Linked DNA regions of Oryzias latipes. The protein of the gene in region 1 binds, or shares a complex with, the protein of each later gene. Links are inferred from orthologs where the notes say so. Each region holds a gene or a part of one and is shown on either strand. Other genes may lie near its edges.

The links. Proteins that work in one complex are often made in the same cells at the same time.
Region 2: eif3j (region 1) and eif3l share a complex: the UniProt entries of both Homo sapiens proteins name them as parts of the eukaryotic translation initiation factor 3 (eIF-3) complex. The link is inferred for Oryzias latipes from reciprocal best matches to the Homo sapiens genes EIF3J and EIF3L.

What each region holds. Positions count from the first base shown.
Region 1 is NC_019861.2:18,399,568-18,403,784, forward strand, and holds the start of eif3j (eukaryotic translation initiation factor 3 subunit J), read right to left. Parts: upstream 2,802-4,217; 5' UTR 2,754-2,801; coding exon 2,687-2,753; intron 2,550-2,686; coding exon 2,449-2,549; intron 1,034-2,448; coding exon 970-1,033; intron 896-969; coding exon 804-895; intron 724-803; coding exon 624-723; intron 439-623; coding exon 280-438; intron 172-279; coding exon 98-171; intron 1-97. Other genes in the region: stereocilin, read right to left, coding at 4,083-4,177. UniProt on the Homo sapiens protein: Component of the eukaryotic translation initiation factor 3 (eIF-3) complex, which is required for several steps in the initiation of protein synthesis.
Region 2 is NC_019873.2:29,649,445-29,653,658, reverse strand, and holds the start of eif3l (eukaryotic translation initiation factor 3 subunit L), read left to right. Parts: upstream 1-1,407; 5' UTR 1,408-1,530; coding exon 1,531-1,560; intron 1,561-1,820; coding exon 1,821-1,890; intron 1,891-2,055; coding exon 2,056-2,266; intron 2,267-2,350; coding exon 2,351-2,430; intron 2,431-2,574; coding exon 2,575-2,636; intron 2,637-2,715; coding exon 2,716-2,785; intron 2,786-2,868; coding exon 2,869-2,942; intron 2,943-3,089; coding exon 3,090-3,261; intron 3,262-3,328; coding exon 3,329-3,483; intron 3,484-3,572; coding exon 3,573-3,743; intron 3,744-3,821; coding exon 3,822-3,955; intron 3,956-4,044; coding exon 4,045-4,214. UniProt on the Homo sapiens protein: Component of the eukaryotic translation initiation factor 3 (eIF-3) complex, which is required for several steps in the initiation of protein synthesis.

The DNA of each region.
Region 1 (4,217 bases):
TAAGCTGAAATTGAGAAGACAAACTTCTCAACAATGCCATGTGTCAACAGCGCCCCCTTTTGTACAAGTAGTCACTTTTAGATGATCAAGAACTTACTTTTTCTTGTTTCTGTTTTTCACTAAGTAGAACCGAAAGGGAATTACTGACTTTCTTTAAGTCCTCTACTTCCACTGCATGAAAAAGAAAAAAGATGCACATATTAGGCCGGCTTGGATTTATAAAGAAAATGGCATTTAAGAAGTGATGTTGAGGATAAATGAAACTGAGGTCTTCCTTACATGAAATACAAAGTTCCCGAAACAACGATTCCAAAAAACTTGAATAATGCACAGACTTTTCAAACTGGGATATCTTTTCTTTCAGCACTTTTTCAAATTCTGTGAATTCTTCTTTGGAGGATGGACACATGGCATCAATGCCGGTGACACTGCCAACACCTGAGGTGAGAGAAAGAAAAAAAAAAAAAACGTTTTTAGATGTCTTCTAAGAACAAAAAGTTACATTAAAAAAAAGTTTTTCATTGGTGCAACAAATGTTTTTAATTGTAAAAATAGTGTAGAGCAAAATCCTTTCTTTTTAACTTCCTGGAAAGAGAGAAATGAAGAGGCCAACTCTTTCTTACCAAAAGCATCTTTTGCTAACTCCAAGTCAGCCTCTTCCTGTAGTTTTTTCACTCTTAACTTTTCTGCAAGTTGTTCTTCAGGAGTTAGTTCCTCTTGTTCCTAAAGAAAGCAAAAAAACAATAACATTATAGGAATATTGTTTTACCGTTTAAATAAAAAAAGGCCATAGCAACACATACTTGCTCTTGCAACTCCTGCTGTTTCTTCTTTAACCGGTTTTCCTTCTCTTTGATCTTTTCACTTAACCTTTTCTTATCAGAAACTTTCGTCTCTGTAAACACAAGTTTGAAACATTTCAACATTCATACCCATAAAAATGCAAGTTTTTCCTAATGATTATAGTACCTGGTTTCTTCGCCTCCTCCTTTTTCTTCTCATCATCTTCCTCCTCATCATCATCCCAGTTATCCTAAAAAAAAGAAAGAAAGAAAACATATTTAGGTTATTTCCAGAAAAAAAAGGTTGATTTAAAAATGTATTTTTACTTCTTTTTTAAATTAGTTTATCTTAATTTGGTTTATACCAGAAATTCCTGAGCTTTATTTTATTGCATTTATTGCAACATTAACCACTTTGTCTTTTGCAACATGTTGCCAAATCCTATCCCTCAAATCCACAGAAATGTCTTCACCCACTTTGTGAAGCCTAACTCAAGCTTTTACAACATGTGATCTCAAATGAGATGACAGAACAATTCATTAAGCAAAAATAAATAAAACTCATTAACCTAAATAAAATAATTGCAACAGCACCTAGTACTTATTGACTATTAATGTTTCCCCAAAAACAAGGTTACTGTTCCTTTAGTAGTGGGTAGTGTACTTTATTTTAATAAATGAATTAATAAATTAGTTACGTTAGTTTAAACTTATGAGATATTTTCACTAAAAGAGCAGTTTTATTCAGAAATGACCATCCATGTCCAATTATCACTTATGAAACAGTACACTTGCTTACATAGCAAACTACTAGCAAAAAAAAAGTAAATTTTTTCCCAAGCTTTGACACCATGGCATATGTGACCAAATAAATAAATATACATTTATCCCAGGAAGGCCTACACTAAGACTTTCCACGGCTGAACTATTTGGGAAGAAACACGATATTTTCATATAAGCCACCTGAGCTGCAGTGTCAGCTGAGCCGCAACAGCTCAAAACTCCTGCTCAGCCATCGTAAAGTCGGAAAATTCTAGGCCTCCTTTTGGCCGAGTTGAATCATCAGCAGAGAGAATGATTTCCTCTGACTGAGGCTAAGTTGGTAAGCGAGCTATTAGCTAACGTCAGCAGACCGGAGCCCACAGTTACTGCCATTATTCACCTATTTTCACTTTACCACTTTTGGTAAAAAGAAGAAAAAAAGTTGGACTTTTCTGACATTTCTTTTTTAAAATAAGCATCGTCGTGCCCAGCTGAGCGTCCAAAACAGGCTAACTGTTAGCAAATATCTATGCCAATAAATCCTCTAAAATGAAAAGTATATTTCAAAGTCTAAACTATAAACCAAAGCAGATATTATTTCTATTGTTAATAGTTTGCTAAAACAACGTTCAGTTGTCACTTAGTGAAACCCGGACGGAGGGCTGGTGTTAGCTCAACATTGGACAGTCTGTGGAAGCACGCGAGTTAGCCATCCGCTAGCTAACATACAGCTAACACAGTTCTAAGGTTGGGCTTGACGGACACGGAGGAAGCGTGGCATCAAGAGCGATCTGCTTTAAGCCTAACGTCGGCGTGACTCTCGTGAACGACCCGCTAAAAAAACAATACAGATATACCTGAATTTAAATATACACGTTAAGACTATGACATGATGAAGGCATACCTTAACATCTTCCTCTTCGTCTTCGCCTTCCCATTTGTCCATAACTGCAACAACAACTGCCGCCTTTTTAAGCGGCTCCTCTGGCTCGAAGGTCTCGGCGTCTACAATAAGAAAAAACATTCAATATGCGAAGACAACTCGCTATAATCTTATGGTGATATAGTTTTCAACTTTTAAAAGAAGTTTACAACAAGACTACGGTGTATAAATATATTCCATTCCCAACTTAGTTTCTTACCCCAGTCCGCCATGTTGGCTGTGTTTGACAGGCTCGGAGAAACGTGAAGGCTGCTGCCGCTGGGCATGCTCAGTAGCTGCTCCTGACGTCACCGCGAGTTTATGTGACGTCCCCGAGCCAAAAGAGCTATTTCAGGCGAGGAATTTATTCACGATGATTTAAAACAAACAAAGAAAAACTTACAAAAATGATTTCTAGATTATTTTCACAATTATAAGGAACGACTGCCAACCCCCTTATAAATGTTCAAAAACGTAAACACTATGGCAGAAATAACAATATAAAAACAATTAATGAAAAACGTATAAATATTTGTAATTATTAATCTTTTTTTTTTCTATTTTCTTTTCAGGTGGACCAACTTTTTATACCACTTTTTTCTTCACAAGTTCTTGTAAATAATGTCTATCAAAAATATGTTTTTTCTTGGATCTACAGAATCAGGACGCCCATAATGTTTCAAGGTTACTAAACACAAAAGAAAAATTCTAAGATAACAGAGATTTATTTCAAAGAAAATTTTAAACAATTACAGAGTAATAAATGAATTTGTTTTTTCTAAGAGTATCCCTGGTTTGAATAAATATTGAACATTTGTCCTGTTAGATATGATTCGGAACTTATAATATTTGAAAAAGACTGATGAATAGATTACTGTTGGGTTTGCGGTCCCCTGATTCTTGCCTTATGACTGCCAGGATTTGTTTTTTAGACCTCCGAAAGTCCTGAAATGTATGCAAAACATTTGAGGTTATCAGTGAGAGAAGATCTAAGAACAAAAGACAGAAAATGTAAAAATATACATTGTGAAATAAAAGTTTAATTGTTGGTTCCTTTTAATAAAGTAACAGTCATTCAGAGCCCAAGTGGTTTAACTGAACATTTCAGCTAAAAGTTAAAGAAAATTAAGCAAGCACAACAATAATAAACTCACAGCAACAATAGACTGTCATTGATAAGCACTAATACTTCCAGTCTTAACTATTGACTATATACACAAAATAACCTGACAGTTTGCAGTAACATACAGACAAATAAAAAATGTCAATACATTTTTTCATTTGCAAAAAATTTACATTTTTTCCTTGTCAATATACATGTTTTTAGAAAAATAAATGTTAACTTTTATTTATTGTAGGTTTTATATGGGGTTTAAATGAAAACGCTGCAAAATGTTATAATTGTGTTTTTATATCAAAAGCAAAGCTGTACTTTTAGCTAATTTGAAAAAAAAAGGGAATTTGCAACAACGTTCACTAAAATGTCAGGAAACATGACATGAAGAACTCCAGATATGTTGCTTATTTCCTCTTCACAAAAACTGTATCTTGCTTATTTGCTTATATTTTTTATTGTGCTTTGTATCACAGTCCTGAAGCAGCTTAGAAGAGTGAGGTTATGTATCATGGCAGAATGAGACAGTTAGCTGCATCAGTAGTCCAAATATGAGACATGAAGGATTGATGCCAACCACCAAGCCCATTGACCTCCCTGTGAGAAACAGAAAAAACAAAATCAGACCTATTAATAT
Region 2 (4,214 bases), on another chromosome or scaffold:
TCCCTGACCTTTCCCCCTCCCTTGGTGTGTCTTTTCTCCTTCCTTCTCTCTCAGACTCAGCTTCTTGTCTCCACACCCCTTCTCTCCACGCTTCATTTCGTGGTTCTGGATTGAATGCAGGCAGTTCTCGGGGCAGTTGGGGAGGCAGGTAAGCTCGGAGGGGTGTGTGTTTGGAGGGACCCCCCTCCCCTCCCCACTCTTCAGGTATCAGCTCTTCCAAAATTCCAACAGTTTCCTCACTGCAGGACTCCGTGATGATGAAGCTAACTCTGCTTTCAGACAGTGGAAACGCCCCCGTTATTTGGATAAATGAACAATAGTTAGAAAGATGCTCCATCACAGAAACTCTCACAGTCCGTCCCCAAGTCCAGGTAGCACTACACTCAACGAGAAATCCTTTATGATTTTTGAAAAAATTACCAACGAATCCAAGTGAAAAAACGCCAAGGTCCAATTTCTGCAGAGACTTTATTAATTTTTTATTCTGAAAAAGTTTCCATTTTTATTAATATAACTCAAACACAACGTGTCTCTGCTGCCCCCTTATGGCAGTAACGAGTAGTTCACTCCCGTTACTAATAGGCCCAGGATGCTTACAGTCAGTGTCCCGTGCACACACTGATGCCAATACAACCACCAGCAGTGTGGGGTTCAGTGTCTTGCCCAAGGGCACTTTGACACAGGCAGTCAAGGTGGGAACCGAACCTGCAATCTTCCATTGAGAGGTTGACCGCCCTACCTCTGCACCACGGTCGCCCAAGTCTTAGATAACTTGCTATCTGTGAAAGAACTGTATGCAGCCACATAGCATGTGCAACCACAAATGCAGATTCTGAGTCATGGTTTCTAAAGTGGGCAGAAGAACAAGTCACAAACAAACGTAACTGTTCCAAGGGCGTGGAGTTTTGTAAGGTGCTTCCAAACAGGGACAGTCTCGGGTGAAGCAAGTTTGATATTAAAAAACACTGTAAAGGAGCCATCTCATGTAGTTATTTACCATCTGCACGGAGAACATTAGGATTGGTCGTAATTTTATAGTTCAAACCGACTCAGAAGGTTGAAATAAATTATTTAAAATAGAAAACAAAGATGTTATATTACATCACCAGGAGTCAGTGTGCTTTTAGCATTTCCTGATCTTTTATGTTTGTACACTTCTGAAAATAAATAGACACCAAGCATATTGACCATATTAAAGTGCATATTTTAGAACTGTTCTGAAAAACTTTGAGTAATTTGTTTATGGGAAACAATAAAAATAAACTAGTTAAGCAAAGAACTGCTTCAAATGTACCTTTAGTATTCGTTGTCTGATGCAAATCTCACTTCTTCACAGCAAGAATTATCAGCTGAGAACCACACCAAACTCAATATCCCATCATGCACCGCTGAACCATTTCCTGAGTTTCTCCTTCCGGTTTTCCTCCGTACTTCCTGTCAGCGCTGCGTGGTTTAGCGGCGTTAGCTTGTGGGCATCACGCATAGCTTTTCTCCTGCTCTGTCGCTGAATTTGTCACAGAACGCGCGAACATGTCGTACCACGAAGAAGAAGAAGTAGTAGTAAGTTTACACGAATACGCGCAGATTTCCAAAGTTAGCTTTGAGTTAGCCATGATTTAGCCACTCTGGGTTCCAGCCGGTGGAGCAGAAGAGCTCGCTAGCCAGCATGCTAATGTTGTTCTGTTTGGTCCTATAATATCTCTTTATCATCTGGAACGGTTCCGTTATGTTCGGTATTGATGTGTGAAACCTAGTTTGTCGTTAAAAACTGACTTGACGGGTCTGGATCGCCGCCATAACAATCCCCCGTTTGTCCACAGTACGACCCATACGCCTACACGACCACCACCACCACCACCACCACCACCACCGACTACGACCTACACACCGGTGAGTATGCCGTTAGATGTGCAGAGTGATGTCACTCACTGTGACGTTTCTAACTCCCATCAGGTCAAAAGGTCGTGGCACAGACCTCAGCTCTGCTCCAGACTGAGGAAGGAACATTTGATGAAGCCTCATTCGTTGAACAAAAGTTTTCCCGTTCGCCTCCAGGTGACCCCAAAGCAGACCTGGCCTTTGAGAGGCAGTATGAGCAGCAGACGTACCACGTCATTCCAGAAGTCATCAAGAACTTCCTCCAATATTTTCACAAAACCATCTCCGACTTGATCGATCAGAAGGTCTACGAGCTGCAGTCCAATCGGGTGTCCAGCGAGAGCATCGAGCAGAAGATCTACGAGATCCAGGACGTCTACGAGAACAGGTACGGCCGAACCGTCCCGCTGAAGCCTGCTCAGGATGATGGACACGAGCCTGACTAGTGTTTTCCGGTTCTGCTCCTCATCAGCTGGAATAAACTCACGGACCGTTTCTTCAAGTCGTCTCCGTGGCCGGAGGCCGAGGCCATCGCTTCACTCGTTGGAAGTGGTGAGAGCAGCGGGTCATGCTTCAGGGGAAATAATCAGGAGTTTCATTTTGTGGAGAAACGTTGACATTTTTTAGAATAGTCTCCTAAATCCCCCTCAGTCTTTTCTGTCCTTAGAAAAAATGATATCTGCTTGTTTGTTGCAGACGCCGTGTTCCTCATTCTCTATAAGGAGCTGTATTACAGACACATCTACGCCAAAGTCAGCGTAAGTGTCAGCGCAGCAGAAACACTGCAGTGCATTGTGGAACCTTATTTTGACTAAAAGTTTCTATTTTTTAAATCAGGGGGGCCCGACTTTGGAGCAGAGGTTTGAGTCGTACTACAACTACTGCAACCTCTTCAACTACATCCTCAGTAGGAGCTGCCGCCTCCTTCTGCTGATCTCAGCACTTCAGGAGAATCGGGTTGGTTGCTAACGTGAGATTGTTTGTAAACAGATGCCGATGGCCCCGCCCCTTTGGAGCTGCCAAACCAGTGGCTTTGGGACATCATCGACGAGTTTATCTACCAGGTACATGACAAGGTTCTTCCAGTGCAAATGATCAGCCGTGGCGTCATTAAAGGTCGGCTCACTGGGCCGTCGGTGGCATGGCGAACAGGAAGTACGGCTTTGGAGTCGCGGTTGAGATAAATGACGTCACTCCTCGTGTCTCCTCAGTTCCAGTCCTTCAGTCAGTACCGATGCAAAACGGCTAAAAAGTCAGAGGAGGAGATCGAGTTCCTGAGGAACAACCCAAAAATCTGGAACGTCCACAGCGTTCTCAATGTTCTCCACTCCCTGGTGGACAAGAGCAACATTAACCGCCAGCTGGAGGTCTACACCAGTGGAGGTAAAGACAAAAAAAGATCTTTTTTTTTTTTAGCTTTGCCCTTTCAAACCTCTTCGTCTCCATGCAGGAGACCCAGAGAGCGTGGCTGGAGAGTACGGACGTCACTCTCTCTACAAGATGTTGGGTTACTTCAGTCTGGTCGGCCTTCTGAGGCTGCACTCTCTGCTCGGGGATTATTACCAGGCCATTAAAGTTCTGGAGAACATTGAGCTCAACAAGAAGGTAGGATTGGAGGCCACCTGATGAACTCTGTGACTCCATGGGTGCAGAATTCTCCAGAACCTTCTGGATCTTTGCCTTTCCTCTTCCAGAGCATGTACTCTCGTGTGCCTGAGTGCCAGATCACCACCTACTACTATGTGGGCTTTGCCTATCTGATGATGCGCCGCTACCAGGACGCCATTCGCGTCTTTGCCAACATCCTGCTCTACATCCAACGAACGAGAAACATGTTCCAGAGGTCCACCTATAAGTATGAAATGGTGAGGAAGAGCAGGTGATCGTGGATGCTGGTGACCTGAGCAGCTGATCTTCACACAACCTGACTGACCTGCTTTCAGATCAACAAACAAAACGAGCAGATGCACGGTCTGCTGGCCATCGCCCTCACCATGTACCCGATGCGCATCGACGAGAGCATCCACACCCAGCTCAGGGAGAAGTACGGCGACAAGATGCTGCGCATGCAGAAGGGGTGAGTGGGCCGGCCCTCCCCAACCCGCTGCAGCTAGACCGCCGCCTCAGCTAGACCGCCGCCTCAGCTGACCCTCTTTACCTCCTCAGAGATCTGCAGGTGTTTGAGGAACTCTTCAGCTTCGCTTGTCCTAAGTTCCTGTCGCCCGTGGTGCCAAACTACGACAATGTTCACTCCAACTACCACAAAGAACCCTTTCAGCAGCAGCTGAAGGTGTTTGCTGAGGAGGTGCAGCAGCAGGCGCAGCTTTCCACCATCC